Macaca fascicularis: one gene and its partners. Each later gene encodes a partner of the first gene's protein in a complex. Links are inferred from orthologs where the notes say so. Each region holds a gene or a part of one and is shown on either strand. Other genes may lie near its edges.

Region 1 (3,569 bases):
GAGAGCGGAGGCGGCTGGCTCGGCAGGCAATGCTCCCAGCGGCCATTCCCACCCAGCTCGTCCTTCCTCCCCACCAGCCCGTTTCCTTTTGTCTCCATTTCCGAACTCTTTGGGACGTGACCCTCTCCTAAGATCTGGGCTTTTATGGCGGCACTGCACCCCTGCCTCAAATCGTACTTCCCTCCGCTGAGATCTGAGCCCTTGATGAGACTGTGACCCGCCTGTAAATCGGGTGCTCAGTGCCGCTCACTACTGCAGCGCTGTCCTTAGATCTCATGCCGGAGACTTCACTATTTCCTGTCCCGCTCCACCTGAGCTCGTCAGCCTCCCGCGCTGCGGCTCCCACTCACCTCCCCTCGGCCCTGCAGAGGAGGCTCGGCGCCTCCTGTGGGTTCACCTGACCCTCCCGGTCCCATCCAGTTTGACTGGGGCCGCCCTGATGGAGACAGCCGGACCCCGGCCTCACCTGGACTCAAAGTCTTGCGTGCAGGTCACTGAGCCACCCAGGGAGGTCAGGGCCCTAACTCAGAGGTCGAAAGTCAGGATCTCTAAATCAGATTCCAGTTCCACTCCCAACCCATCGCCAAGAACTGGAAAGAGACAGGAGGAGTGTCACAGGGGAACTTTATTGAGAGGAAACATGGTCACACCCAGCAGACATGCTTTCCTTCAATGTCGGTCTTGCACTGGCGCGCGCGCGCACACACACACACACCCATCTCCGGCCCCTGCCACTGTCCAGTTCTCAGCCACAAGGCGGGACATTCCTCAATTCCTACGACCAGAGGCAGCAGGGGCAGGAGTGAGGCAAGAGGGAGGGGAGAAGTAGCCTGGTCCTGGGGTCGGGAGGAAGCGGTGCGGAGAGCAGGGCTGGGGTCATGACCAGTGGTTAGGTGCGCTCAACAGCTGCAAGAAGAGTGGGATCCCCAGCCCCAGGTGGCCTCAGCTCTGCCAGTCCCTCTCCACGGAGCCGTTTGGAGTAAGAACAGCGCCTGGGGGAGAAGGGTGGGGCCTCCCACCCCATATTAGTCCTCTCGGCAGGGTGGGGGACTGAAGGGGGCAGGGCAGGGTGGGGCGGTGGTGGGCAACACTCAGCTCTGGGGCTCCTGGGGAGCCTCGCCCCCCTCTTCCCCGGCGTTGTCGGCCGTCCACAGCGTCAGGTTGTCTCGCAGCAGCTGCATGATGAGGGTGCTGTCTTTGTAGGAGTCCTCGCTGAGGGTGTGCAGATCAGCCATGGCCTCATCGAAAGTGGTCTTGGCCAGCGAGATGGCCTCCTCGGGGCTGTTGGCGATCTCGTAGTGGAAGACGGAAAAGTTCAGGGCCAGGCCCAGGCGGATGGGATTGGTGGGCGGCATCTCCTTCTTGCTGATGTCCATGGCCTCCTGGTAGGCTGACCGGGCTGAGTCGATGATGCGCTTCTTGTCGTCACCAGTGGCCACCTCGGCCAAGTAGCGGTAGTAGTCGCCCTTCATCTTCAGGTAGAAGACCCTGCTCTCCGCGTCCCCAGCCTCCTTGATGAGATGGCTGTCCAGCAGGCCCAGCACGGTGTCGCACACGCCCCGGAGCTCAGTCTCCACCTTCTCCCGGTACTCACGCACCTCGGGGCCCTTCTCCTCCGAGCCCTCCTCATTGCTTTTCTGCTCAATACTGGACAGGACCCTCCAGGCAGCCCTCTGGCCGCCCACCACATTCTTGTAGGCTACTGAGAGCAGGTTTCGCTCTTCGCAGGAGAGCTCCTCACCTTTCTCCACGGCGCCCTTCATGAAGGCTGCCATGTCCTCATAACGTTCGGCCTGCTCTGCCAGCTTGGCCTTCTGGATCAGACTGGCTCTCTCCATGGCTCTGGGGACACACAGGCGGGCGGCGGGCTAACTGCTGCCTGGGACCAATGCCGGACTCTGTGCCTCTCCTGCTCTTGGCCTGCCTTTTGGCTGGGTGGCCAGGCCCAGAGAAGGGTGGGGAGGAGCAGGGGGCGGGACCAGGGCCCAAGACCTGCCTCCCTCTCCTCTCCTCCCCACACCCTTTCCGGCTCTGCAGTCAAGGTAAAAAGGCTGGGATGTGGGGGTGAGTCATCAGAACAGTCAGCAGAAGAAATCTGGGCGTGGGCCCCACCTGCACAGGCACCTTTCCAGGCTCTAGGCTGCCCCCTCTTGTTCGGGGCTGGCATCATATGGCTGCTCACATCAGGAAACTGCCTGGCTTCTCAAATCAGATCCTCCTTCACAGCGTCCTTACAGAGGCTAAGGGCGGCTTTAGCCCCTGGCTGCTTCTGCCTCGACAGAGCCCATAAAGGTTCAGGAGGATGGGGTTCCCAATCCTGCCAGGTAACTTCTCCCCTTGATTCAGGTGAGGATAACTTATGTTTAGGTAGGGCCATAGAGTTTCCCAAGCACTTTCATATTCACCATCGAATTTAATCCCCACTGTGTCTCTGTGACACACACAGGACCACAGAGATGGGAACACTAAGTCTCAGAGAGGGGTGAGATTTGCTCAAAGTCACATAGCCACCACTTCCCTGAAACTCCTTTCTGCACCCTGCTTCCTTTAGCTTTTCTCCCGTTGAAGTCTCTGACCTATGAGCTCCAGGCTGTGTTTGGAAGTGAGATCCAGGCTCTTTCTCAATCTACCTGAAGATGGTTCCATCCCTCAGGCCTCACTCCCCCTCAGGGTCCCCTCTGAGCTCCCAGAATGCGCAGGTGGCAGCTTTCAGAGTGCCACTTAATGAAGTGTTTAACAAGCAGCCTCTGACGCTCCAGCCCAGCCTTTGTAATTAGTCACCCAGTAGGTTTGTTGGACACATTTCCCATCACTACACAATTTTCCCTTTCAAGTTGGTGGCCTGTTGCCACTTGTTTGAGGATTTACCCTCTGGCCCTCCACACCAGGTCACTTGCCCTCTCCAAGCCACATGCCATCAGGTACCAGTGGGGTTCACAGAGGGTGGGGTCCAGCTCCCCGGCTGTCCCACTTTCCTGCCTGACTCAGACTGCTCTCTGTCTGAGGCTGGGAAGCAGTCCAGTTTGATCCCCCAGGGGGGACGCTAGCAACCTGGGGAGAGAGAGGACTGAGAAAGGGAGGTGGCAGTGACACATACCATTCTGTTTTATGGGGCAGCAATCCCAGCTACTCCCCCAGCCTGTCTCTCAGAAGTTTCCCTGTTCCTTCCTTTTTTTTTTTTTTAAATAGAGACAGGATCTCACTACATTGCCCAGGCAGGTCTCAAACTCCTGGGCTCAAGCAATTCTCCTGCCTCAGCCTCCCAAACTGCTGGGATTATGGGCATGAGCCACTTCCTTCCTTTTGACCATTACCCCACCTCTGACCCCTGGCAGAGTCCTCAGATGGAGACCTCTGTTGCCAACCTTCTTTCCCTGCTTGCTGGGGCCCTGGCCTCAAGTTTCATCAGGAGTTTCACCAAAGGGTGTTGGCATTGAGCCTACAGGGATGGATTCCTGCTTATCTGCCCCACCCCTAGCCAAAGCTTAGATGGGCCTCGGGTACGGCTCCTTTCACTGGGATTCTGCCCGCCTAATAGTTGAGCTAGGATAATTTCACAGGCCTGTGTC
Region 2 (4,107 bases), on another chromosome or scaffold:
CTTTGGTTCCTAGGATTAAGACCCTACATGCCCAGATTATTGAGAAGGATGCCATGATCAAAGTACTCCAACAGCGTTCCCGGAAGGAGCCGAGCAAGACAGAGCAGCTGTCGTGCATGCGGCCAGCGAAGTCTCTGATGTCCATTTCCAATGCTGGATCAGGCTTGCTCTCCCACTCATCCACCCTGACTGGCACCCCCATCATGGAAGAAAAGCGAGATGACAAGAGCTGGAAGGGGAGCCTAGGTAATGACAGTAAATAAGGAAGATTATAGTCATGTGTTCAAAGAGAGCCATGAGACAAGCACCCATGCTTAAGGAAAAGGGATGATGGTCCAGGTTCTGGAGAGGAAGGTGTACCAGGGTTTTGGGTTCATATTCCTCCTGAGACCCTAGTTCCACATTCTGGAGCTCCTCCACACTTTGAAGTCTCCTGGTGAGAATACTGATTGAGGCCAAAGCCTAGAGGACAAGAATCTTGAGTTTCATTTGGGTGTGAAGGAAGGTAACTCTAATTTCCTCTAAAATATTCTCACATTTGACCTTTGCCATGTGGCACCTTTATCTTTCTCCAGAACCCATGTGGCCTTTTTGTCATTCAGAATTTCAAAATTCCAGCATTTCTGTGTTCCTTCCTCCTGTATAATAGGAGAACCCAGAGTTTTAGTTACGCTAAATCGTTTGGGTAGCAGGTTTTGTTCCCACAGTGTTCTGAGATGAGAACAGAATGTACTTTTTCATTCCATTCCTGTCCATTCCCTCCCCTCTAATCAAAACCCCAGACATATTGTGGATACCACGGGCACATTTTTAGAGCCTGAGGAAGGAAGCTTATATGTATTTTTATTTTAACCCTTTTTGTTGCTTTTAATTCCTTTCTTGGTCCTCTGATACTTATAATATCTTTTGGTTAGAATAAGCATTTTGGAGACTATGGTCATGGTGAGAACCTTAGATCACACAATTATTACCACACTTAATCTGTGTCAATAGACTTATTCTCCAAATCCTTTCTTGCTCCCTGGTAATGTGTGGTAATGGTTTATAAGTGGAGCCGAGTAGGAGCATTCTGACAACTTGGTGGAACCCAATCACCATTGGAAAAATAAATCAAAACAGATACCCAGGTCACTTACAGGCTTAATATGTTGTGCCAGGTGATGGATGAGGACCAGAGGGATCTTCGAAGTCTGTAAGAAACTTTTAGCCATGGTTGGAGGAGCCTCACACACTGATTTCTGGGTTCCCTGGAGGCAAAAATAAATAATTTAGACACATTCAAATTTCTTCTGAAATTTGAATGGGAGAACAGGTAATTAGATGTCTGGATTTGAATCACCTATTTTTTTCTAATGTCTGTTCCCCTTTCATTTGTAGGCATTCTCTTGGGTGGAGACTACCGTGCTGAATATGTCCCTTCCACACCCTCGCCTGTGCCCCCCTCGACTCCCCTGCCCTCGGCTCACTCCAAGACAGGCAGCCGAGACTGCAGTACCCAAACTGAACGTGGGACGGAATCGAACAAAACTGCAACTGTTGCTCCCATCTCTGTTGCTGCTCCAGTTGCTGCCGCCGCCACTGCTGCCGCCATCACCGCCACTGCTGCCACTATCACCACCACCATGGTAGCTGCTACTCCAGTTGCTGTTGCTGCTGCTCCAGCTGCTGCTGCTGCTGTTGCTGCTGCCCCGTCTCCAGCCACCGCTGCTGCTATTGCTGCTGCTGTTTCTCCAGCTGCTGCTGGTCAGATTCCAGCTGCTGCCTCTGTTGCCTCAGCTGCTGCCGTTGCTCCTCCTCCTCCTCCTCCTCCTCCTCCTCCTCCTCCTGCTGCTGCTGCTGCTGCTGCTGCTGCTGCTGCTGCTGCTGCTGCTGCTGCTGTTCAGGTTGCTCCAGCTGCTCCGGCTCCGGTTCCAGCTCCGGCTCTGGTTCCAGTTCCGGCTTCAGCAGCGGCTCAGGCTTCTGCTCCTGCTCAGACTCAGGCACCAACTTCAGCTACGGCTGCAGCTCCAACTCCAGCTCCAACTCCAACTCCAGCTGTGGCTCAGGCTGAGGTTCCTGCAAGTCCAGCTACCGGTCCTGGACCACATCGTTTGTCTATACCAAGTTTGACCTGCAATCCAGACAAAGCAGGTAATTATTCCCTTTAGCAGGTAACTTTTGGTTTAGTTCTGCTCTCAAATACAGATTTATTTCTTGTTGCCTGATGTCTGGGCAGAGTTATCCTTTGGACTGAATTTTTCATGTTCTAAGGGAGAGAGAAGAGAGTCTGTAAATGACTTCTCATCCACCAAGATGGGAACAGGCATGAGTGGAGGCCATTATCTTAGCAGAAGTAAATGAGGGAGGTGACAAGTCTCACTTTGCCATTGGCTTCATGAGGGCTCTGATGGTGTCTAGTTCTAGAAATACAGGTTTTTTCTTCATCCCTAAGTGTTTTCTAACCCTTATTTCCATTTAGATGGGCCTGTGTTCCACTCCAATACTCTGGAAAGAAAAACTCCCATTCAGATCCTGGGACAAGAGCCTGATGCAGAGATGGTGGAATATCTCATCTAAACGGCCAATTCAAGAGCTGCAGATTCTCAGCAAAAATGCTTTTAATCATTTCCCCCTTTTATTGGTTCTTGTTTTGGGGGTGAGGACAAGGGTTGGGGGGAGGGGATGTTTTTTAACAGGACTTTTTGTTGGAACAATGTACTACTTGAGTAATACCATGTGAACCACCAGTCTATTCTGGTATGCTTAGGGAGTACCTCTAAAGACAGATTAATCAGAATGTGCTCTAAAGCTTATTGTTTGAATTTATACAAATACTGGGACTGTTAACGGGTGGGCATACATCAGTGTTTTCAATGTGCTTAAATTTGTTTAAAATTTCCATATTCTAGATCATTTTTAACTGAAGAGCACAGTATGTGTGGAAGACAGTGTGTAATACGTAGTTTGGAAGTGGGAAGCTGGAGAGAATTGAGTGTGTGCTGTCTTGTATAGTTACTATCCTGTGCAGCAGCCGGAGAAAGCTCTCACCTCAGGCTTATAAAAGGGAATAGTTTCAGGAGCTATGTAAGCTGGAAAAAAGGTAGGGAGTTTTGGGGTGCAGAAGGGTGCTGGAGCTAATTTTTTCTTCCAATTTCCCATCTACCCTGCCCCAGGGAATTGTGTTTGTCTTCATTTCAGTGGTGCTTTGGAAACGGATTCTTTTGGTTCCCTCCTGGAGGTTCATACATTCATATATATGCTCTGGAATAATTTATGCATTTGGATAATTAATATATTGCTTTCAGATGCTGGGAGAGTACATTAACTGAGTGATGCACAACTTCCTCTCTCTTAGGGAGTTAGACCATCAGAGGCCTTGATGGAGACTTGCGTGAGGTGCTATATGCAGACTTTCATGGTCTGTGTGTAGCCATGAACATAGCTTGCTTGCATTTATTAAGACCAATCAGCTTAGTGTTTATTTCTTCTACAGCACAGATTCACTGGCTGGGGCTCCAGTCTCAAATTGCCAATCATTTGCAAAGTGAGGAAGGATCTTTGTTGACAGGTTGAATGCTTTGAATTTCTGGTGACTACTTTGAAATAACTTGTTTTGTGTGTCAAATTCTAAGCATATGTCTTAAAAGGCATTTTTGACTATCATCTCCAAGGGAATAACATGAGAAACCCAAAGTACTATGCTGCAGTCGGGGGAGAGGTGGATTGCAGCAGTATCCTCAACTACCTCTTCTCACTGTCAGTGACTCCATCTTGGAATACCTTTGGGAAGCAGCGGGAAATGTGCATGTGGGTAGAGATCAAAGGAGGCAATGGTTCCAAGCCTTGCCATAGGGCTGCCTCCAAGAACACAGAAGGATGCCAGTTGCCACAGGTCCCTGCCCTGTGTCACCTGTCTGCCCTTCATTAAGGTGACAAATCTGCAGATAGCATCATTAAGATCAGTTTTAAGGGGTATAGGGAGGGTGAGGGAAGGTGGGGGGGTGTTAGGTAAGGGTAGGGGGGGTAGAGGTTTTGGGATGTCTTAGTTAGAAACCAGATTAATAGAAGAGTAGGCCTGTTATATTACATCATGAGCCATAGCGGTGGGAGAGAACTTTAGCAATAGAG
Region 3 (4,107 bases), on another chromosome or scaffold:
AATTATGTTTTAAATGTTTAAAATTCTCTTCTGGTAAGCCAAATCTTTATAAAGCATAAATAAATCAGTTATCAGAGACAACCCTCTTTTTTTAATACTTGCAGGAAAAAGAAATATTCACTGGGATCTACAGGGAGTGTGGTGTAAACTGTACTGAAAAATACCCTTGATAGTTCCATATGACAAATATAATGATGAATTTCACTTAGTCCCTCTTGGCTTAGCTCATTAGCACTAATGATCAAGATCCTGGCTGATAAATAGAGTCCTATTTCGCCTGGGCAGTACCAGCGTAATTATTAATAGTGTCCCACTATATTCTCAAAAGCATTCCAATTTGGATGATAAATTATATAGTCACCTTGGTTATAACTCCGCGTTGGCCAGTTAGCTTACATAATCCATTTATATAGATTATGTGTGCTTCTCTGCAAAACCTAATGAGCCATTTGTAAAAGTGATGGATTTTGCGGTGTCCGGGGAGAGAATTTGTATGTTCGTGTCCTTCAGCACACATTTATTATAGTTATTAAAAGGTTTTATTGATGATAGACAGTAATGTCATGTAAAAATGACATTATTTATTTGTAGATTTTCCTATTCTCTTGTTGGACATGTAATTAGAAAGTAATATGACTTAAAGAAAAACAAATACACAAAATTTATTCATCCAGTTAATCTCTTAATCGAGGTTTTTTTTTTTTTTTTCTGAGACTATACCCATACTTCAAAAACTTTGTTGTTACTGAGAATATTTTGATAATTTCCCTTTTCGTCATTGCTGTCAGATAATGTATCATATCTTTAAAAAGACTTGTTGGAGGACGAGTTTGTTTTGAAAAGGCCTGAATTTAGTTGATGCAAAGTCACAGATAAGATGGCTCATTAAGCTGTATTAATACTGCTTTTGTCTAATAGATATCATTACCAATAAATCAGACCAGATTTCCTTTTGGCACTTGTAAATCAACTTTGAAGACAACTTTTTACAAGGAAGTAAAACAAATGCTTTGAGAAATACCAGTATTAGTGAAAGAAAAGTATATATTGCTAATGGATGCAGCATTCTGGCATAATGGTTTGAAAACTCATTTGATTGCTTTGTAGAAGAGTGACTCTTTCGGAGGACCCAGGGCCTGTGGGCCTGCCAGAACTTGAAAATTCTTTCTTCCCTGAGGTGCTTCAACCTGAATTCAAAGAGCAGCTTTTAATCTATTAGAGATCTTTTTTTGTCCTCTCATTTATTTTTCATCTTTCCCTTTGATCTTAGCTCTTCTCTAATCTTTTTCTGTCTCAACCTTATTAACATGTGTCTGTGCAGACACTTTAAGTTTTATTTTTTTGACTCAGCCTGTCAGTGAACTGATTATCATGCTGAAAGGAGAAGCAGGACAATACAGAGTTGAATGCCGACAATACTCCTTTTAATCTTGTTCAGCCCATTAGCAGAGCAGGCATCCCTTTAGGCTTTGAGACCTAGTCCCCTAAAACTCATCCCGTTTCTACTTGATTTGCTTTCTTTGAGAACTCTTGTTTACTTTTATATGGAGGTTTCCCTCCTTGGATTAAAACATAAACCTCAATCTGAAGTTCCATTTCATCTTAATTTATGAACAACTCTGAGAGGGAACATGAAAAGTGGAGATTAGTGAAATTATCTCCAATTCTCTGGGTCAAAAGATACACGAAAACAGTCTCTTGAGTAACCATTTACAGGTAAATACAGAAGTAATGGTTATGGTTGTCTCCTTAAGGTTTTAGTCACAAATGAAAAAGACCAAGTTAATTTTTTGTCTCTGTGTGCTGAATTTCTGTTTGTAGTAAGTGTAAGAATTTAAGCAGAAATGCTGTTTCTTATTTTCAGGTGAAAAGAATATGTAATTTCCATAGGCCCAGAAATAGGGAGAGTTTGCCATCTGGTGGTTCTTAAAGGCATTGCGGATGTTATTAAGAGTTGCTTTTCTATTTAAAATTATATTTTAAAAAATGTTTGGAAGATACTTTTATTATAGAAACTATCCTCTTAAGCCCATTCTTTAAAAAATCTTCTTTTATGCATTTCTCATTTTGTAGACAGTGATTAGATTCTAAAAGCAACAGAACAATGATCATCCTCTCCTAGCAGAATCACTGGTGTTTAGATGATTTCTCATTTTCCCAAATACTCCATGAACAACATAGCTTGAGTGGGATCTTATGTCTCCAGGTTTCACTGTTGATATATGCATCCCATCAATATAACATTTTACAAATAACAAGCACAAAATTTAATGTTTTACCTTGAATATTTAAAATATAATATCCAAAAGCTCTTGTAATTTGTACTGATATCTTATGCTAGCGTGTCTGTTTCACATTAAGTTTAATGTCTTAAGATATAAAAAATCTTTCTTATGGTTAGTGATTTATCTTGATTTTTGCCATGGAATTTCTGTGTAGCAAGATAAACATTTCCATACCATTTTATTTGATATTTCCTAATTTGCCTCTGGATCAACAGTTTTCCTATTTTAATTTCATTGTACTTATTCCTTACAATCTAAATAGCTTTTTATTATATTTTGATTTTATTTAAAAATGTACTTCTGAATAACATATCTGTTTCTGTAAAAACTGTTAGCACTGAATTTGCCAACCATTTGACACATACACGAATAAAATAGATTTTTACGGCTTGTCATTTGTAATTTCATAGATCCGAGATCAGCCTGTTGTTGGACAGCTGATTCCAGACTGCTATGTAGAACTTGAGAAAATCATTTTATCGGAGCGTAAAAATGTGCCAATTGAATTTCCTGTAATTGACCAGAAACGATTATTACAACTAGTGAGAGAAAATCAGTTGCAGTTAGATGAAAATGAGCTTCCTCACGCAGTTCACTTTCTAAATGAATCAGGTTTGTGTGTTTCTTTCCTTACTTTCAAAGCTCAGCTGTAATAACTTATAAAAGTGTTTCTGAATCTTGTATAGAATTTACATTCAAAGCTGAGAGAATATCCATACAGTTCTTTAATAGGGCACTGATTTTTTTCTTTTTGGAGGATCATCATGTGTGTGGATGATAAATCATGTATCATGTTGTAAGAAAACAAATTTAGAAATCACCTAGGAGTAAAGTAGTGGAAAGATTCCCTGAGTGGGAGTTAAAATATTTGGGTTCTAGAACTTACTTGTACTATTCAGGAGCTGTGGAACCCCAAGCACAACCATATCCTTCCATAATGTCAAATGAGTTTAGTGCATGTGAAACTTATTTTTATATTGCAAAGGGGAATTATTGTTGGAATGGTCTAACTGGGACGCTTTGAGAATCAATGGCTCCCTGAGATGATGCAGCTGCTGAGTGGAAGATCTAGCTCTCTTTCATCAAATATTGGTCTCAAAGATGAAAATTCTCAAACCAACTTCAGTGCTAATTGTGTACTTGATCATATTACTTTGCCAGAAATGTGTGAGTTGTTTGATAGTACTAGAGTAAGTGACTGGGAAGCTGCTTTTGATCCCTAGATTCTGTTGTGTGAAAAATAGCTTCCTGTGGTTTATGATCTGTTCCTTTTCCCCATTGTTCTTAAGGTATGCTGAAATATGCTGTGTTTCTTATCTGTATTTGAAAATAAAACATGTCTTTGTAGTGTTTATTCAGCAAGCAAAACAGAAAATTATGAATTTCTATGTATGCATGAAATATGCTTTGTAATGCATGTCAGTGTCTCAAATATGTTTATATATGATTGTTTTATGTAGTTTAAAAATACTCCATTATAATATTGGGACTTTAGACCATAGGATGCACAGCTTCTAGTCCCAGCTCTGCCACTAGGTATGCTGAAATTTCTTTACCTGTAAAATGAGGAAGTTGGACTAGATTCTTTCTAAAGCCCCTTGATAGTTGTTCTACATTCCATGTTTCACTGTTTGATGAATTTTTACTACAGGAGTCCTTCTTCATTTTCAAGACCCAGCACTGCAGTTAAGTGACTTGTATTTTGTGGAACCCAAGTGGCTTTGTAAAATCATGGCACAGGTTGGTGTCTTTTATTTTTGTGGCACGGGGTTATGGTCAAAGCATAGAACAGATGGCGCCCAGAGCATTGAGCATTTTAGAG
Region 4 (3,861 bases), on another chromosome or scaffold:
CAAAAGCTCATTCTCGTAAAACCTACAACCAGAATCTAAAGAGAGTTCATGTTGAAATACCAAAATTGTATTAAGAATCATCATTTTAAATACTGCAGTCTTCTTAGTCTTCCATTTCTCATTAGCAAAAATTTGGTATTTTAAATAAGTAGTTTTGGTTGATGTGCACATGTTTATTGTTGCGTATATTGGTGGTATGGTTCACACTTAGAAATTACGTATTTTGTGTTTGATATAACAGATGTCACAATAGTATTATTCCTTTCCTCAACTTATTTTGGCCCTAAGTAAGACACAATCACGTACATTTCAAAATCAATTTTAAATTTCATTCATTACCCTCGTTTTCGGTACAACCTAGTCACTAGTCTTGAATGCCATTTACCCTCAAGAAAAGAGAAATGGAGTCCCCCAGGAGACGCTGGAACAGGTTCTCAAAGCCACATCGCCACAGCCAGAGCTGTGTGGAAAATGTGGAGTTTATGTTCATGACCTTCAGCTAACTTACTTCACCAGTAAGATTCTCTGGGCCATTCCATGCTTGCTGTGACCCTGGAAAGCCTGAGTAACCAGTTAACTCTTGCTTGCAGTTGATAGTGAAGATGAATCACCTCGTTAGCTCCACTCTACACCTCTTTGAATCACCTCATATTAAGTGTTTGATAATGAATGTCCTCATTTGTTAAGATCAGCCTTTAGCATTTATTCAGAGCTCTAACACCTCTAATGAGCCATGAGAGTTGGACATCTTAGCGATTGGCTCTTGACTGCCAATATTTATGAAGTAATAAATAAGGCAGTTCAAATTTTAACAACTTTTATTTTTGCAGTGACACTTGGAAAATTCAGTTAACATATCAGTAAACGTTTTGCAATGCATTATTATTTTGTGGTATTAGAAGACACTAGCTAACTTTCTCCCAAAGTCTTATTGCTGATTAAAATCCCTTCTTTTGCTTCTCAGGGGGCAAATATGGCCAAACAGATTGGAGCAGCTACTTATATCGAATGCTCAGCTTTACAGTCGGAAAATAGTGTCAGAGACATTTTTCACGTTGCCACCTTGGCATGTGTAAATAAGACAAATAAAAACGTTAAGCGGAACAAATCACAGAGAGCCACAAAACGGATTTCACACATGCCTAGCAGACCAGAACTCTCGGCAGTTGCTACGGACTTACGAAAGGACAAAGCGAAGAGCTGCACTGTGATGTGAATCTTTCATTATCTTTAATGAGGACAAAGGAATCTAGTGTAAAAAACAACAGCAAACAAAAAGGTGAAGTCTAAATGAAGTGCACAGCTAAAGTCATGTATACCAGAGGCTTCGGAGGCGTTTGAGAGGATACTCATCTTTTTGGAATCCTGTCCTTAGATTCGGCATGTAGACCAAGTGGTGAGAATTGAATACGTGGAAGAGTTTTGAAGTGTGACTTGAAAAATATGCCAAAAAATGGAGATACAAATGAGCTAGAGGAAGATGAGGGGGGATGCGAGTACCTCCAAGAAGAAAAATCACACTCTGAATGGTGCTTGCATTTTTGTTGGGTTTTTTTTTTGTTTGTTTTTGTTACAATCTATTCATGGATCTCTACTTTGATTTAATTTTTAAATGTTTTACTCTCCTTTACAAAAAGTATATGTTAATATACCGTCCTCACTGGGGAACTGGCACTGTGACTTTAGCATTTAGTTTTCTAGAGGATGTGATCTAATTTCTTTCTAGCTCATCATTAAAATGGAAATTGTATCAGGACCCATGGGGATATATCCAGAGGAAAACTTTATGAGGCGTTGAAATCTTGCCTTCCTGAAGATAGCTGAGTAGGATGGTTCTAAGGAAAGCCTTTGCAATCTTGCAAGATTTGTAGACCAGCACTACAAAGATCGCATAGATCAAATAGGAAAAAAAAGTGTCGATTTTTATTCAGTCTGATGGTTCTGTTCTTCATTGTGATTGTCATTAAAAAGTGGTAAATTGCTCAATGTAATATTTTTGTGCGCTGTTTAGAAAAGAAGTTGTGTGATTTTTTTGCCATCGTTGATAAAAATGCAAAGTCAAATAAAAGGTGTCTTGGTTTGACGTCATAGAATGATCCAAGGAGAGAAAAAAGGTAGTTACTGTTTTCACCAGAAGAGGTAATGAGTGAAGGAAAGAATAGTAGCGGAAAGCACAGTTTGTGAGTAAAGCTGTCTGGAATTAAGTTACCAAAAATACAAAGCAAAAGGACTATTATTTTGGGTTGGAGCTCCAAAACTGGCAGCATCTGATGATCTGTTGGTTTATTTCACTTTCATTAAATGAACATTGATGAGAGAAGAATTCACTTACCCAAGCTTTAGAGAATCCCTAGTGGAAGATTATATAATAGAGTTTCAGTCCTGACACAACACCAGGGCATTTCTAGAGCGTGATTGCTAAAACCTCACTGAGCAGACGCAGCCAAGGTCCATGTTCAGCACTTGGTCGCTGTTGTTACGTAAAATAAAAGCATTTAAAATAGTTTACAGATATTTTTGACCAGTTCATTTTAGAGATTATTTCAGAGAAGAAACCAGATCTGACCTGTTTATTGTTGGCGCTTGTTGAAAACGAGCTTTCTTTCCCATGATAATGCTTCGTTTTTGAAGTGTTGAAGCTGTGCTCCCCTTAAATTGTGGCAGGAGAGATTAAGGTAATTACAACACTCAGTTCTATGTCTTACAAGCACTTTGTTTTGTCTCTGCAAGAAAATACGATTCCAGTCATTTCCCATAAAATACAGACATTCTACCAACATAATATGCTTTGATTGATGCAGCATTATGCTTTGGGCAGTATTACAAAATAGCTGGCGAGTGCTTTCTGTATTTAAATATTGTAAAAAGAAAATAAGTTATAACTGTTATAAAGCAGAACTTTTGTTGCATTTTTTAAACTGTTGAAGTCACTTTGTATGTTTATTTGGTCAATGTTTCTGCAGTATTTATTAAAACATACTTTTTTTTTCTTCAAATAAAAAAGTAACCATGTCTTTGTCTAAATGTGATCTGTCTTCTATTACCTGCTTCCTGATTTCGCTGTTTAGCTTTGTTCTTTAACATAGGTGATTACAGAATCAAAATGCCTAACATTTTCTAAATGAGAAGGCTTTGGAATTTTTTAATTCTTCATAGTAGTAACAGATAAACCTGCATATATAAAAGGTTTTCATGATGCTTTCAAATCACAAGAAAAAAAAATGGGGCATAATTAGATTAAGTGATTTGATCATATACGAAAAAGAGCCCTGATACTGCCTAAGATTAACTTGTAGAAAATACGGAAGTCTTCAAGTATTTAAGAATGAAGCAATATGATGCAGTCTCAAGTCACAGGTTTAATGCTAATACGAGCCTAGTTTGCCTCTCTGCCCTGTGGGGTTCTGAGCCTTGGTCTTTAACTCATGCCACCTCGCAAGGCATGTCCATGTCCTTGTTCACAGCGGTTGTGGGGATGACCCAGCACACAGCTTTTGCAACAATTGGAAGGATTAAAAAAAGCAAAACAGAAATTGTCTTGCATATGGTAGTAGCATCTTTAAATAACATAGTACAACATAATACAAGTTTCCCAATGACCTGGGAGATGTACAGTAAGCATAGAACTTACCGTAAAATAGAGGACTCTCTCCCCATAAATCCAGTTGATTCTCAGTCTTCAGCTAAAATACTTATTAAGTTTTACATAAGTGTCCAAAGATACTCTATGTGGGATTTTTTAAAACAGTGCTTCTTTCTACACAGCTAAGCCACATCATATTAAAAAAATGCATCCTTGTGGCTTCTTTTTTTCTGAGTGGCTTTGGGAATCTTGGAGGTACAGTTATTTGCTTGGAAATA
Region 5 (4,107 bases), about 63 Mb from region 1:
TTTCCACTTCCAGAATGGCACTGTGAGAAGCTTTGTCAATCCTCATTGCAGTGAAATAAGCATAACCAGTTGAAGATGGAGGAAGGAACACATTTAAAAATCTTTGAAAATTATTCTAAGGGTAAACATCAAACTATGAACACTGATTCACTGTGTTGGATGTCTATTCACTGTAAGAATTAATAAGTAAATCAATATTGAATTCCTTACAAATAGCTAGGATGCAAAATAAATCCTCTAAATCCTATTCTATCTTCCATTAATTGACTAGTGAAAATATTTAATAAGAATCCAAAAAGAAAGTTTTCTACAATAAATTAAATGAAATATTTGGGTTGTGAGAGTAGTTGAGTGTTGATAAGTCACTGTCATGCTAACATTTTTTGTAATGAGTTACTTTGACTATACTTCCATAACTTTCTCAAATGATACAGATTTTGCCTCATCTCTCTCGCTGTCACACACAAAACTTTTGGCCATACTGGGAAATCTTATGATTATCCCTTATAGTTGCAAAACACTAGAAATTTTCATTTATTTCACCTCCTCTCTTGCAGACAAGGGAACACCCTGGACATGGCATCAGAGATCCACATGACAGGCCCAATGTGCCTCATTGAGAACACTAATGGGCGACTGATGGCGAATCCAGAAGCTCTGAAGATCCTGTCTGCCATTACACAGCCTGTGGTGGTGGTGGCGATTGTGGGCCTCTATCGCACAGGGAAATCCTACCTGATGAACAAGCTGGCTGGAAAGAAAAAGGGTGAGTGGCATGAGCAAAGATCTGCCAAGTCCCTTCTGTCCATCTACACAGTCAGCATCCATTACAAGGGTGTGAGGAGAGAAAGAGATGAGGATGATTACTGAAAGCTAACTTTCCATTCACAGTCGGGCTCCTTATCTTCATGCTATTCCAGGGGATAAGATTCAATTCATTAATTATTCCATGATACCTTAGTTTCCCTTTCAAAAGCACAAATAATGCCTTTCCTGAAAGGAGTAAGACGGTAATAAAAATAATTAGTGTACAGAAAAATAACTATAATAAACTATACAATGTTTATTATAATTTTTATGCAATATCAGAGAGTTTACAGTGATCTTTAAGGTTGAAAAAATGTTTCAGTCTGTATTGGATATTCTTTTCTATTGTTGTAAAAAATAAACATAAAATTTAGCCTCATAACCATTTTTAAGTGTACAGCTCTGTGGCATTAATGACATTCACACTATTATACAACTGTCACCTCCATCCATATCCAGAACTCTTTCATCTTGCCTAACAGAAACTCTGTACTAATTAAACAAAAGCTCCACATAAACCCATTGCTTGCCATCATTCTACATTCTATCTCTATGAATTTGACTACTACAGAAACCTCATATAAGTGGAATCATTCAATATTTGTCCTTTTATGACTGGCTTATTTCAATTCATATGTCTTCAAGGTTCATCAGTGTGTTAGCACATGTCAAAACTCTTCCTTTCTAAGGCTTAGTAATTGTACGTGTATACTAATTTGTTTATCTCTTCATCTGTCAATGGCCACTTGGATTGCTTCCACCTTTGTCTGTTATAAATAAGGCTAATAGGAACATGGGTGTCTGAATATCTGTTCAAGTCCCTGCTATCACTTCCTTTAGGAATATATCCGGAAGGGGAATTGCTGGCTCATGCAGTCATTCCATGTTAACTTTTTTTTTTTTAAGAAATCACTATACCATTTTCCACAATTACTATACTGTTTTACATTCCCAACAGAAATGTACAAGGGTTCTAATTTCTCTGCATCCTCACCAACATTTTTTATTTTCAGTGTTTTTTTTTTTTTTGATAGTGCCCATATGAATGGATGTTAAGTAGTATCTCGTTGTGGTTTTGATTTTCATTTCCCTAATGACTAGTGATATTGAGCATATTTTCATGCGCTTATTGGTAACTTGAATATCTTCTTTGGGAGAATGTCTATTCAAGTCCTTTGTTCATTTATTAATCTGGTTTTTATTTGCGTTGCTTTGTAAATTTTTTTATATTTTCTAGATATCAATCCCTTATCATATACATGTTTAGCAAATCTTTTCTTACATTCTATGTGATGCCTTTTTTAACTCTGTCCGTAGTGTCCGTTAATACACAAAAGTTTTAAATTTTGCTGAAGTCCCACTAATCTATGTTTTCCTTTATTGTCTATAGTTTTGGTTTCTTATTAAAAAAAAAATCACCAAATCCAATATGTAAAACTTTTACCCTTTGTTTTCTTCTACAACTTTTATAATGTTAACTCTAATGTTCAGTTATTTGATGCATTTTGAGTTCATATTTGTAAGTTATAAGGTAACAGCCCAACTTTTTGTTTTTTGTTTTTTGTTTTTTTTGAGACAGAGTCTTGCTCTGTTGCCCAGGCAGGAGTGCAGTGGCATGATCTCGGCTCACTGCAAGCTCCACCTCCCAGGTTCACGCCATTCTCCTGCCTCAGCGTCCCGAGTAGCTGGGACTACAAGCGCCAGCCACCATGCCCAGCTAATTTTTTGTATTTTTAGTACAGACGGGGTTTCACCTTGTTAGCCAGGATGGTCTCGATCTCCAGACCTCGTGATCCGCCCACCTCAGTCTCCCAAAGTGCTAGGATTACAGGCATGAGAAACTGTGCCCGGCCAACAGCTCAACTTTTTAAGGAGATATCTCATTTCCTCAACATCATTTGTTAAGGAGACTCTCCTTTCTTCATTAAATGATCTTGACACTGGTACTGGAAATCATCGACCATATGTGTCAGAGTTTATTCATGGGCTGTCTTTTCTATTCCATTGGTTTATATGTCAGTCTTTATACAGGTACCATACATGGTTTTGTAATATGTTTCAGAACTCAGAAACTGTGAGACTCTAACTTTGCTCTTCCTTTTTAAGATTATTTTCATCATTAGGGGATCTCTGGAAATTTCATATGAAAGTTAGGATGGATTTTCTATTTATACAAAGTAATTGGAATGTTGGTAGGGATTACATCAAACCTGCACATCACTTTGGGTAGTAGTGACATCTTAAGAATATTGAGTCTTCCAATCCATAAACACAGGATGTCTTTCTAATAAGTTATGTCACCTATAATTTCTTTAAAGGATGTTTGAAGTTTTCACTCTACAAGTCTTTCACCTGCTTGGTTAAACTTATTCCTAGGTAGTGTATTCTTTCAATGCTGTTAAATGGGATTGTTTTCAAAATTTCCTTTTCTTTTTGTTTGGAAAGGAAATTAGAATTTCCTTTCTAATTCTATTTTTTACACTAGCAACTGATTTCTCCACATTGACTTTGTATGCTACAACTTTGGTGAATTGTTTTAAGAGTTCTAATCTTTTTCTGTGGAATATTTAATGTTTTCTACAAATTACATATTATCATCAGCAGAGATAATTTTACTTTTTCATTACCAATTAGGGTACCTCCTTTATGCTTTTCTTGTATAATTACTCTGGATAGGACTTGCAGTGTTCTGTGGAACACAATTAACAAAAGTAGGCACCCTTTCTTGTTCCTGATATAGGAAAAGCTATGATGCTTCACCATTAAATATGAAGTGAGCTGTGGATTTTTAATATATGGCCTTTATTATGTTGAGGTACTTTCTATTTTTACTTTGTTGATTATTTTTATCATGAAAGTCTCCTGAATTTTTCCATGCATTAGATATTCGAATTTCCTATTTCTTTGATTGTAAGTAAGTAAGGTGAATAGTGATTGTTGTTTCGGTTCTCTCTCTTAACCTTAAATATGTTACCTTTTCCTTCAATTGCCAGAACTGCCTGTTACTAGATCTTCATCTCTGGTCTCCTCTCTCCCTTGCAGGCTTCTCTCTGGGCTCCACAGTGCAGTCTCACACTAAAGGAATCTGGATGTGGTGTGTGCCCCATCCCAAGAAGCCAGGCCACGTCCTAGTTCTGCTGGACACCGAGGGTCTGGGAGATGTAGAGAAGGTGAGACTCAAGGATCCAATTGTGGAGTGAGCCCCTCTTCTCTGAATATTTTATGCACCATTTAATTGTTTATTAACCATTAACTATAGGCTGTAATATGTGGGGTTTAACACAGATGCATAAAGGGAGC
Region 6 (4,107 bases), on another chromosome or scaffold:
ACAAAAATTAGCTGGGCCTGGTGGTGGGTGCCTGTAGTCCCAGCTACTCAGGAGGCTGAGGCAGGAGAATCGCTTGAACCCGGGAGGCGGAGGTTGCAGTGAGCCGAGATCGCGCCACTGCACTCCAGCGTGGGCAACAAGAGTGAAACTCCATCTCAAAAAAAAAAAAACAAAAAAAGATCTAGGAGGTTATCGCATCCGCATCCTCCGAAAAGACTTCCTGGAGGAGGCAGCATGGGCACTTAATCTGAACGTCCAAGGCCAAGCAGGATTTCGTAGGGTGTCACTTGAGTCCCAGTCCCCTGGGATGAGGTGGGGGATGAGGAAGCTGGGTGCCCCTAACCTGGCCCCCTTCTCTCAGATGTGGAGCGGAGGAAGAGCCCCGTGTGTGGCTTCGTGACCCCCCTGCAGGGGCCTGAGGCTGATGCGCACCGGAAGCCGGAGGTAGCTGGGTTCTGGACCGCCTGCCCACCTGCTCGCCTGCCCACCCACAAGACCAGCCCCTACCTCCTGTAGCCTTGCGCTGGGCAGACAGGGATGGGGTGAGGGGTGGGAGATGGGTGTGCGGTGCTCCCCTCCCTACTGATCCCCCTCCCCCGGCCCCCACCCCAGGCCGTGGTCCTGGAGGGGAACTACTGGAAGCGGCGCATCGAGGTGGTGATGCGGGAATACCACAAGTGGCGCATCTACTACAAGAAGCGGGTCAGTGGCAGGGCCCAGGGAGGCCCCAGAGCTTTCACCTGCGGCTGCCGGCTACTGCCCGCCTTGGAAGATCCCCGGAAAGGGGATCCTGACCCCCCAGCTTGCGCCCCTCGGGCCCTCCATTCAGTCCCGAGCCGACAGCGCCACCGTGTGGCCACAGGGCCTCCTAACAGCCTCCTTACCTGGGGTTCGGGGGAGCTCCTAATGGGAAATGGGGGATCTCACTGCTTGTGAGTAGGGGAGACTTTTGGGGGGAAGTGATGGAGGGTGGGCAAGGGATCCGGTGTCCAGCTCTGTGTGTCCCTGCAGCTCCGTAAGTCCAGCAGGGAAGAGGACCTCCTGGCCCCTAAGCAGGTGGGTGCTCTGTAAGTCCAGCAGGGAAGCCCATCTCTTCGCCCCCCAAGTAGGAGGCAGAGAGTTGAAAGCTTCCGCCTGCGTGAGCAGGACAGTGGCTGGGCGTGAGGGTGGGATGTGGGACGTGACTGCCGTCCTGTGGTTCATTTGTTGAGCTCTTTTCTTTTTGGGGGATGGGGGTGCGGTGGTGAGAAGACCCCAGGTCATTGAGCAAGTGGTGGGAGGTATGGGAGAACAGACGGACCAGGCCGGGCGCGGTGACTCATGTCTGTCATCCCGGCACTTTGGGAGGCCGAGGCGGGTGGATCACCTGAGGTCAGGAGTTCGAGACCAGCCTGGCCAACATGGTGAAACCCCATCTCCACTAAAAAAACAAAAATTAGCCGGGCATGGTGGCGCATGTCTGCAATCTCAGCTACTCGGGAGGCTGAGGCAGGAGAATCATTTGAACCTGGGAGGTGGAGTTTGCAGTGAGCTGAGATCACGCCACTGCACTCCAGCCTGGGCAACAGAGACTCCGTCTCAAAAAAAAAAAAAAGAAAAAGAAAAAGAAAACAAACAAAAACAAAACAGAGGGACCAAAGAACTGGGGTCCCAGACAGGAAAAAATCTAAAGGGCAGGAGGGGGACTCCTGTATCTGCATCCTGGTCTGTCTCCTGGGGGAAGTTCTTAGAGGCCAATGGAGTGATCCTGGCCTTTCAAGCAGCTAGCCAGGACCGCTAGGGAAAGGTGACAGAGGTGTGCACAGACAGACCCTCTGTCCTGCTGACCCCTTGACCCTGGAGAGGGGTGATATGGAAGTTCGGGGGCAGTGGGAGCTCTTCAGCGGCTGCTGACGGCTCTGTCTCCCTAGGCGGAAGGCGGGTGGCCGCCGCCGGAGCAATGGTGCAAACAGCTCTTCTCCAGTGTGGTCCCCGTGCTGCTGGGGGACCCAGAGGAGGAGCCGGGTGGGCGGCAGCTCCTGGACCTCAATTGCTTTTTGTCCGACATCTCGGACACTCTCTTCACCATGACTCAGTCTGGCCCTTCGCCCCTGCAGCTGCCGCCTGAGGATGGTGAGGGTTTGAGAAGGGGCAGGGGAGAGGGGTGAAGGCCTGTGAGATTCCAGGAGGCCAAGGGAGGGATGGCTGGGGATGGGGTTGGAGACCCCCACTCCTCCCTGCCTGCTACTGCTGATGTCACCACTGCTGCCTCTAGCCTACGTCGGCAATGCTGACATGATCCAGCCGGACCTGACGCCACTGCAGCCAAGCCTGGATGACTTCATGGACATCTCAGGTGGGGCGAGCCCCTCCCCAGGTAGGGTGGACGGGCAGGGTCCCTGTGAGAAAGGCCAATGAGCCTATCCCAGGCCCCTCTGGGGGAGCAGATAGTCTGGGTGATTTCTTTTTTTTTTTTTTTGAGATGGTGTCTGACTCTATCACCCAGGTTGGAGTGCAGTGATGCTAACCTCTTGCCTCCCAGACTCAAGTGATCCTCCCACCTCAGCCCCCCGAGTAGCTGGGACTACAGGTGTGCACCACCACACCCGACTAATTTTTTTTTTTTTTTTTTTTTTTTTTTTGGATTTTTGGTAGAGATGGGGTTTCACCGTGTTGCCCAGGCTGGTCCCAAACTCCGGAGTTCAAGTCATCCCCTTGCCTTGGCCTCCCAAAGTGCTGGGATTACAGGCATGAGCCACCGTGCCTGGAAGGTCTGGGTGGTTTCTGAGGGATCTTCCTGGTCTCCTTTTGTACAGCTGGTGTGGCCTCCAGTGAGGGCAGGGCCCAAGACAGTACCTGGCCAGGGAACCAGGGGCTCCCAAGAAAGCAGTGAATGCTGGGACCCTCTCAGGGGAGAGAAGAACTTTGAGTTATTCGGGTCTATTTATTTTTCACACAATGCATTTTAAAACTATTTGCTAGGCCGGGTGTGGTGGCTCACACCGGTAATCCCAGCACTTTGGGAGGCCGAGGCGGGCAGATCACGAGGTCAGGAGATCAAGACCATCCTGGCTAACATGGTGAAACCCCGTCTCTACTAAAATACAAAAAAAATTAGCCAGGTGTGGTGGTGGGCGCCTGTAGTCCCAGCTACCAGGGAGGCTAAGGCAGAAGAATGGCATGAATCTGGGAGGCAGAGCTTGCAGTGAGCCAAGATCATGCCACTCTAGTCTGGGCAACAGAGCAAGACTCCATCTCAAAAAAACAATAAAAAATAAAAATAAAAAATAAAACTATTTACTAGAGGACATTTCAACCATGCACACACTAGTAGAGAAAGTAGTTCAGCAAAAAAACTCCCAAGTCACCATCACTGATGTCATCGACTTATCAACTCTTGGCCAGTCATCTTCTTTTATTTTTCTCTTTTCTTTTTTTGAGAAGGAGTCTCACTCTGTTGCCCAGGCTGGAGTGCAGTGGCACAATCACAGCTCACTGCAGCCTCAACCTCCCAGGCTCAAGTGATCCTCCCACCTCAGCCTCCCGAGTAGCTGAGACCACAGGCACGCAGCCCTATGCCTGGCTATTTTTTTTATTTATTTTTTGAAGAGACAGGGCCCCCCTGTATTGTCCAGGCTGGTCTAGAACTCCTGGGCTCAAGAGATCCTCCCACCTCAGCTTCCCAAAGTGCTGGGATTACAGGTGTGTGCCACTATGCCCAGTGTGTTATTTTAAAGAAAATCTCAGGCATCATATCTTGTAAAGCTTTTTTTTTTTTTTCTTTTGAGACAGAGTCTTACTCTGTCACCCAGGCTGGAGTGTAATGGCTCCATCTTGGCTCACTGCAACCTCTGCCTCCCAGGTTCAAGCGATTCTTGTGCCTCAGCCTCCCGAGTAGCTGGGATTACAGGCTCATGCCACCATGCCCAGCAAATTTTTGTATTTTTAGTAGAGAGGGGGTTTTGCCATGTTAGCCAGGCTGGTCTTGAACACCTGACCTCAAGTGATCCTCCCATCTCAGCCTCCCAAAGTGCTGGGATTATGGGTGTGAGCCACCATGCCTGGCCTAAAGCAATTTTTATAAGTCGTGAGTGTCCCTGTCTCCCTCTCCTGACCCCAGGGCCACCA
Region 7 (4,107 bases), on another chromosome or scaffold:
GTGATGCTTTGAGATCCTGGTAGCAGGTGGGAGGGGAGCCTGGTTCCCTGCTTTACCTTTGCTTTTCTTTCTTGCTCATTCCTATGGCCGATGAGTTTAAGATCATCTTGTCAGTGTGCAGAGGGCAAGAAATAAGTTGATGTAAAGTTTTAATATCAATGTTTTCACCACTAATTTAGGAGGCACTAAGCTAGCAGTGCATTACCAAGCCCAGTCTGTTTGTCAAAACATTTTGGAACTTTTAAACTTGACTATTTGATCTATTTTGAAAATGTAAATAATAGTTTTAATCATTTTGAATCACAGAGTTTAATAAGATATTTTTCCTTTTTCTTCTTAGATCCCAATTTTGTTCGGACATTTCTTACAACATACAGATCCTTTTGCAAACCTCAAGAACTACTGAGTCTTATAATAGAAAGGTCTGTCCATTTAAAAAATATTTAAATTCATTATTTTTTGTTAAAAAAGAGATTAAGCTAAGATCTTATGTTTTTCAGAAATGTTAGATGAGCTTTAAAATATACTTCACGAGCACTTTTTCAATAAATAAAATCTCTTAAATGAACATTTATTTTGTTAGCTTTTATTATTTCAATACAAAAATTATTTTTTGTATGTGAAAACTCGGTATTTGAAATTTCAAATTTACAGAACGATCTATATAAAATTTATAATTTAGAGTTGAGAAATTCAAATTTTGATGAGTTAGATGTTCTAAGTAAGTTTTCAAACATACTTCATGTTGAGTAAAATGGAGCTTGTCAGTGAACAAATACTGTGATGGAAGGAAAATATTTCATGTACCCAAACAAAGAGCAGTCAGTTTTTCTGGAATTACCCTTAACAGTGATTATGTCACCTGATTTAGAGTAATTCCACAGACCAAAAATGAATATCAGTCCCATAACTTTATAGTCACATTTATTTTTAGAATTTGCATGTATTCTTTATTCTGTTTGTAGTTAGTTTTATCTATATTGGCAAGTACTAATTTATTTTAAAATTTTAAAAATAATTTTATTAACCTTTAATATTATAGAAGTCTCACTTATTTACACTGACATGCATATTTTTAGTAATTTTTTACAGTATTCTCTTGATTTTGCTGACAGGTGGAAACATTTGTGGTTTTCTATTTGTATAACTCGATATAATTAGTATTTTCATTAATTTGTTCTATTTTATGTTAGGTTTGAAATTCCAGAGCCTGAGCCAACAGAAGCTGATCGCATAGCTATAGAGAATGGAGATCAACCCTTGAGTGCAGAACTGAAAAGATTTAGAAAAGAATATATACAGCCTGTGCAACTGCGGTAAGCATTAAATAAATGAAGCAAATAAGTCTTTATCAAACTTTCATTTTAGTGTTGAAGTATATAAGGACCTTTCCCAAACAAGGAGCGGGGTGACAATAAAATTAATAAATTAAATTTACTAATTAGAGCAGTTATCAGAAATTATAGTGTAAGTCTTAATGTAGAATTTTGGAAGTGTTAGGCACCCTGATAAGAATAACTTGGTAAGAGTTACCGTGTTTTCATTTGTATTGTACCATGCATTGTGATAAACATTTATGTTTGATTCCCATGTAATTCAATTCTGTGTTAATGCTGTAGAGTATTAAATGTATGTCGGCACTGGGTAGAGCACCACTTCTATGATTTTGAAAGAGATGCATATCTTTTGCAACGAATGGAAGAATTTATTGGAACAGTAAGAGGTATGTTTTTTTTTTTAGGTGCTTAGTTTTATATGTAATAAAAGTACCAACACGGTGACTATCAATTGATGTTATTGTGGTTCAGTAATACGAGATGTTTGTAATAGTACCAGCATAACCATTTGAAAAAGTTAAAAATTTTCATCAAACAACATTTAGACCTGCAAATTGCTCAACAGTCACCCTGTTGATCCAATGTATTTTCATTTACTGAATCAACTTACTGATTATTTTAAGAGTTGGTTAAGCCAAGTCTTCATACATATCCCAAAGTATGAGGGCGTTTGGGAATTACGTTGTGCCATTATAACACCACTGATGGAGGTCGAGTGGGCCACAGGTGAATAGAGAGAATCAGAGAGGAAGCAGAGTGGATTAAATTGAGAGTTTGTGTCTAACACTACCACTGATCAGATATGTGACTTTGGGCAAAATCACTTAGATTCTTTAGACTTCAGTTTTCTTATCAATAACATGAGGAGCTAGGTTTGTTGATCTCCAAGGTTTTCCTTCTAGTTTTAAAGATTATATGAGTGTATAGCTCTAAGGATGTCTTAGACAAACTTATTTTTATTTCCTTTGTATGCTCTAAATGATAATCAGAAAATAGTTAAATAATAGTACTTTAAATGTACAATACAAAACAGAGCCACATCAAAACTCACACTAAAAATGAAGGAATCAGTCCTCTGGCACTGATATTTATTGATTTATAAAATGCAATGTGAATTAGATTAATAGTGTGTATAATCTATCCTTATAAATCTTGTGATTTACATAAGATATACCTTTTGGAGGATTATAAAATAATACATTAAACTGAAGATCAGAACAATGGGGTGGACAGTCTCTACAAATTAAGTACTTTCTAATTTTATTTGGAAAGGATCTGGAAGAACACGTGCCAGGCTACTAACAGTGGTTACCCATGTGGAGAAGAGTAGTAAGATTAGGATGGGGGCCGGGAAATGGAAAAAGGGAACTTGTATTTTTCATTTTGATCATTTGAACTTTTTATAGCAAAGATACGTTCAGGTATCATCTGTGTGATTTTAAACCATTTTAAAAATATTAAATAAAGAATATTTAAATGTTATTTAAAATATAATGTATTGCAGGTAAAGCAATGAAAAAATGGGTTGAATCCATCACTAAAATAATCCAAAGGAAAAAAATTGCAAGAGACAATGGACCAGGTCATAATATTACATTTCAGAGTTCACCTCCCACAGTTGAGTGGCATATAAGCAGACCTGGGCACATAGAGACTTTCGACCTGCTCACCTTACACCCAATAGAAATTGCTCGACAACTCACTTTACTTGAATCAGATCTATACCGGTATGTACTTTAACATTCAAGCTGAAAAATCATTTCAAAAGAGTGAATTTTTAAAATGAAATACTGATTTCTGCCTTACAGGGTTGTCCTAAGACTTAACTGAAATCGTACATGAAGTGTCTAGTAATGAGGCCAGGCAGGCACTTCCTGTTCTTTCACTCCCTTGGTCCCTCCAGCTGAATTTACACCTTCTGTCTTTCTGTGGTCACCCCTAGTTGGTAAGGCTAGGTTCAAATCCTGGCTTTACTAATTGCTGACCCTGGGCAACTTTAACCTCCTTGTGTAACTTTATCCTTCTGCCCCTTATTTTCCTCAAGAGTAAAATGGGGCTACTGATAGTACGTACTCCTGGGGCTGTTTTGAGGTTTGAAAGTCAATATATGTACATTACCTAGCACAAAGTAAGGGCTCAATAAATGTTGGCTACTGCTTTATTGTGAACTTATAGCCATTATAGTCTTTTTTAGTTTATCATACTACATTGATATAATTATCTCAAAAATGTCCTTCTGATTTTAAATGGGGACTATTTAGAATCTTAAACTAAATTATTCATTTTTTAATAGCTAAATGAGAAAATGAGCTAAATTTATAGATCTCCCACTAAAAATCATATTTCTGAAAATTACAGTATTAGAATCTATTTTGTTTATTTCCTAGGACCCTTTTGTGGTAGGTTTTTTTCCTCTCCTCCTTTAGACCAAAAAAAAAAAGATGTAGGAATTGCATTGATTACTGTACCCTCTTTGAACTGATTTATAACAGATATCATTACTTAAATGTCTACTTTGTCACCCTAATTTATTAATAATGTTTATAAATGCTGGAAAAGATATTATGGAGGAGTTTCAACCTTGCCCAAAGCAAAATGCTACTATAAAGCAACACTAAAAGTACACAGGTATTTCCATAAAAATAGTTTTTAAAAACAGTTTTTAAAGGCCGGGCGTTGTGGCTCACTCTTGTAATCCCAGCACTTTGGGAGGCCAAGGCAGGTGGATCACCCAAGGTCAGGAGTTCGAGACCAGCCTGGCCAACATGGT

What was found.
Region 2: the proteins of SFN (region 1) and AMOT are in contact, whole or in part, in a crystal structure (PDB 7NPB), measured with the Homo sapiens proteins. The link is inferred for Macaca fascicularis from reciprocal best matches to the Homo sapiens genes SFN and AMOT. Residues at the interface, in NP_006133.1 of Homo sapiens: Val46, Lys49, Asn50, Arg56, Arg60, Lys122, Arg129, Tyr130, Gly171, Leu174, Asn175, Val178, Tyr181, Glu182, Asp215, Leu222, Asp225, Asn226, Leu229, Trp230; in NP_001106962.1 of Homo sapiens: Val171, Arg172, Ser173, Leu174, Ser175, Glu176, Arg177, Leu178, Met179.
Region 3: the proteins of SFN (region 1) and LRRK2 are in contact, whole or in part, in a crystal structure (PDB 5MYC), measured with the Homo sapiens proteins. The link is inferred for Macaca fascicularis from reciprocal best matches to the Homo sapiens genes SFN and LRRK2. Residues at the interface, in NP_006133.1 of Homo sapiens: Lys11, Glu14, Glu39, Asn42, Leu43, Ser45, Val46, Lys49, Asn50, Arg56, Arg60, Phe119, Lys122, Arg129, Tyr130, Pro167, Ile168, Gly171, Leu174, Asn175, Val178, Tyr181, Glu182, Asp215, Leu218, Ile219, Leu222, Asp225, Asn226, Leu229; in NP_940980.4 of Homo sapiens: Lys907, Ser908, Asn909, Ser910, Ile911, Ser912, Val913, Gly914, Glu915, Phe916, Tyr917, Arg918.
Region 4: the proteins of SFN (region 1) and RND3 are in contact, whole or in part, in a crystal structure (PDB 7OBC), measured with the Homo sapiens proteins. The link is inferred for Macaca fascicularis from reciprocal best matches to the Homo sapiens genes SFN and RND3. Residues at the interface, in NP_006133.1 of Homo sapiens: Lys49, Arg56, Arg60, Lys122, Asp126, Arg129, Tyr130, Glu133, Gly171, Leu174, Asn175, Val178, Glu182, Ile219, Leu222, Asp225, Asn226, Leu229, Trp230; in NP_001241667.1 of Homo sapiens: Asp236, Lys237, Ala238, Lys239, Ser240, Cys241.
Region 5: the proteins of SFN (region 1) and GBP1 are in contact, whole or in part, in a cryo-EM structure (PDB 8Q4L), measured with the Homo sapiens proteins. The link is inferred for Macaca fascicularis from reciprocal best matches to the Homo sapiens genes SFN and GBP1. Residues at the interface, in NP_006133.1 of Homo sapiens: Glu14, Gln15, Ala16, Glu17; in NP_002044.2 of Homo sapiens: Lys210, Gly211, Thr212, Ser213.
Region 6: the proteins of SFN (region 1) and MLXIPL are in contact, whole or in part, in a crystal structure (PDB 8BTQ), measured with the Homo sapiens proteins. The link is inferred for Macaca fascicularis from reciprocal best matches to the Homo sapiens genes SFN and MLXIPL. Residues at the interface, in NP_006133.1 of Homo sapiens: Gly53, Arg56, Ala57, Arg60, Gln67, Arg129, Val178, Tyr181, Glu182, Lys214, Thr217, Leu218, Gln221, Leu222, Arg224, Asp225, Asn226, Leu229, Trp230; in NP_116569.1 of Homo sapiens: Arg117, Ile120, Arg121, Asn124, Trp127, Arg128, Ala129, Trp130, Tyr131, Ile132, Tyr134.
Region 7: the proteins of SFN (region 1) and SOS1 are in contact, whole or in part, in a crystal structure (PDB 6Y44), measured with the Homo sapiens proteins. The link is inferred for Macaca fascicularis from reciprocal best matches to the Homo sapiens genes SFN and SOS1. Residues at the interface, in NP_006133.1 of Homo sapiens: Glu14, Asn42, Ser45, Val46, Lys49, Arg56, Phe119, Lys122, Arg129, Tyr130, Pro167, Ile168, Gly171, Leu174, Asn175, Val178, Glu182, Leu218, Ile219, Leu222, Asp225, Asn226, Leu229, Trp230; in NP_005624.2 of Homo sapiens: Arg1158, Pro1159, Glu1160, Ser1161, Ala1162, Pro1163, Ala1164, Glu1165, Ser1166.

Annotation. Positions count from the first base shown.
Region 1 is NC_088375.1:208,247,552-208,251,120, forward strand, and holds SFN (14-3-3 protein sigma), read right to left. Parts: upstream 1,903-3,569; 5' UTR 1,839-1,902; coding exon 1,092-1,838; 3' UTR 608-1,091; downstream 1-607. UniProt on the Homo sapiens protein: Adapter protein implicated in the regulation of a large spectrum of both general and specialized signaling pathways. Binds to a large number of partners, usually by recognition of a phosphoserine or phosphothreonine motif.
Region 2 is NC_088395.1:119,286,564-119,290,670, reverse strand, and holds part of AMOT (angiomotin), read left to right. Parts: intron 1-13; coding exon 14-246; intron 247-1,377; coding exon 1,378-2,130; intron 2,131-2,458; coding exon 2,459-2,556; 3' UTR 2,557-4,107.
Region 3 is NC_088385.1:46,793,277-46,797,383, forward strand, and holds part of LRRK2 (leucine-rich repeat serine/threonine-protein kinase 2), read left to right. Parts: intron 1-2,695; coding exon 2,696-2,897; intron 2,898-3,936; coding exon 3,937-4,025; intron 4,026-4,107. UniProt on the Homo sapiens protein: Serine/threonine-protein kinase which phosphorylates a broad range of proteins involved in multiple processes such as neuronal plasticity, innate immunity, autophagy, and vesicle trafficking.
Region 4 is NC_088386.1:46,018,236-46,022,096, reverse strand, and holds the end of RND3 (rho-related GTP-binding protein RhoE), read left to right. Parts: intron 1-964; coding exon 965-1,216; 3' UTR 1,217-3,024; downstream 3,025-3,861. UniProt on the Homo sapiens protein: Binds GTP but lacks intrinsic GTPase activity and is resistant to Rho-specific GTPase-activating proteins.
Region 5 is NC_088375.1:145,612,851-145,616,957, forward strand, and holds part of GBP1 (guanylate-binding protein 1), read left to right. Parts: intron 1-557; 5' UTR 558-576; coding exon 577-766; intron 767-3,849; coding exon 3,850-3,977; intron 3,978-4,107.
Region 6 is NC_088377.1:52,470,943-52,475,049, reverse strand, and holds part of MLXIPL (carbohydrate-responsive element-binding protein), read left to right. Parts: intron 1-361; coding exon 362-444; intron 445-612; coding exon 613-702; exon of another isoform or gene 703-932; intron 933-1,011; coding exon 1,012-1,056; intron 1,057-1,910; coding exon 1,911-2,112; intron 2,113-2,254; coding exon 2,255-2,335; intron 2,336-2,485; coding exon 2,486-2,569; intron 2,570-4,107. UniProt on the Homo sapiens protein: Binds DNA as a heterodimer with MLX/TCFL4 and activates transcription. Binds to the canonical E box sequence 5'-CACGTG-3'. Plays a role in transcriptional activation of glycolytic target genes. Involved in glucose-responsive gene regulation.
Region 7 is NC_088387.1:83,155,171-83,159,277, forward strand, and holds part of SOS1 (son of sevenless homolog 1), read left to right. Parts: intron 1-340; coding exon 341-422; intron 423-1,193; coding exon 1,194-1,316; intron 1,317-1,619; coding exon 1,620-1,723; intron 1,724-2,841; coding exon 2,842-3,064; intron 3,065-4,107.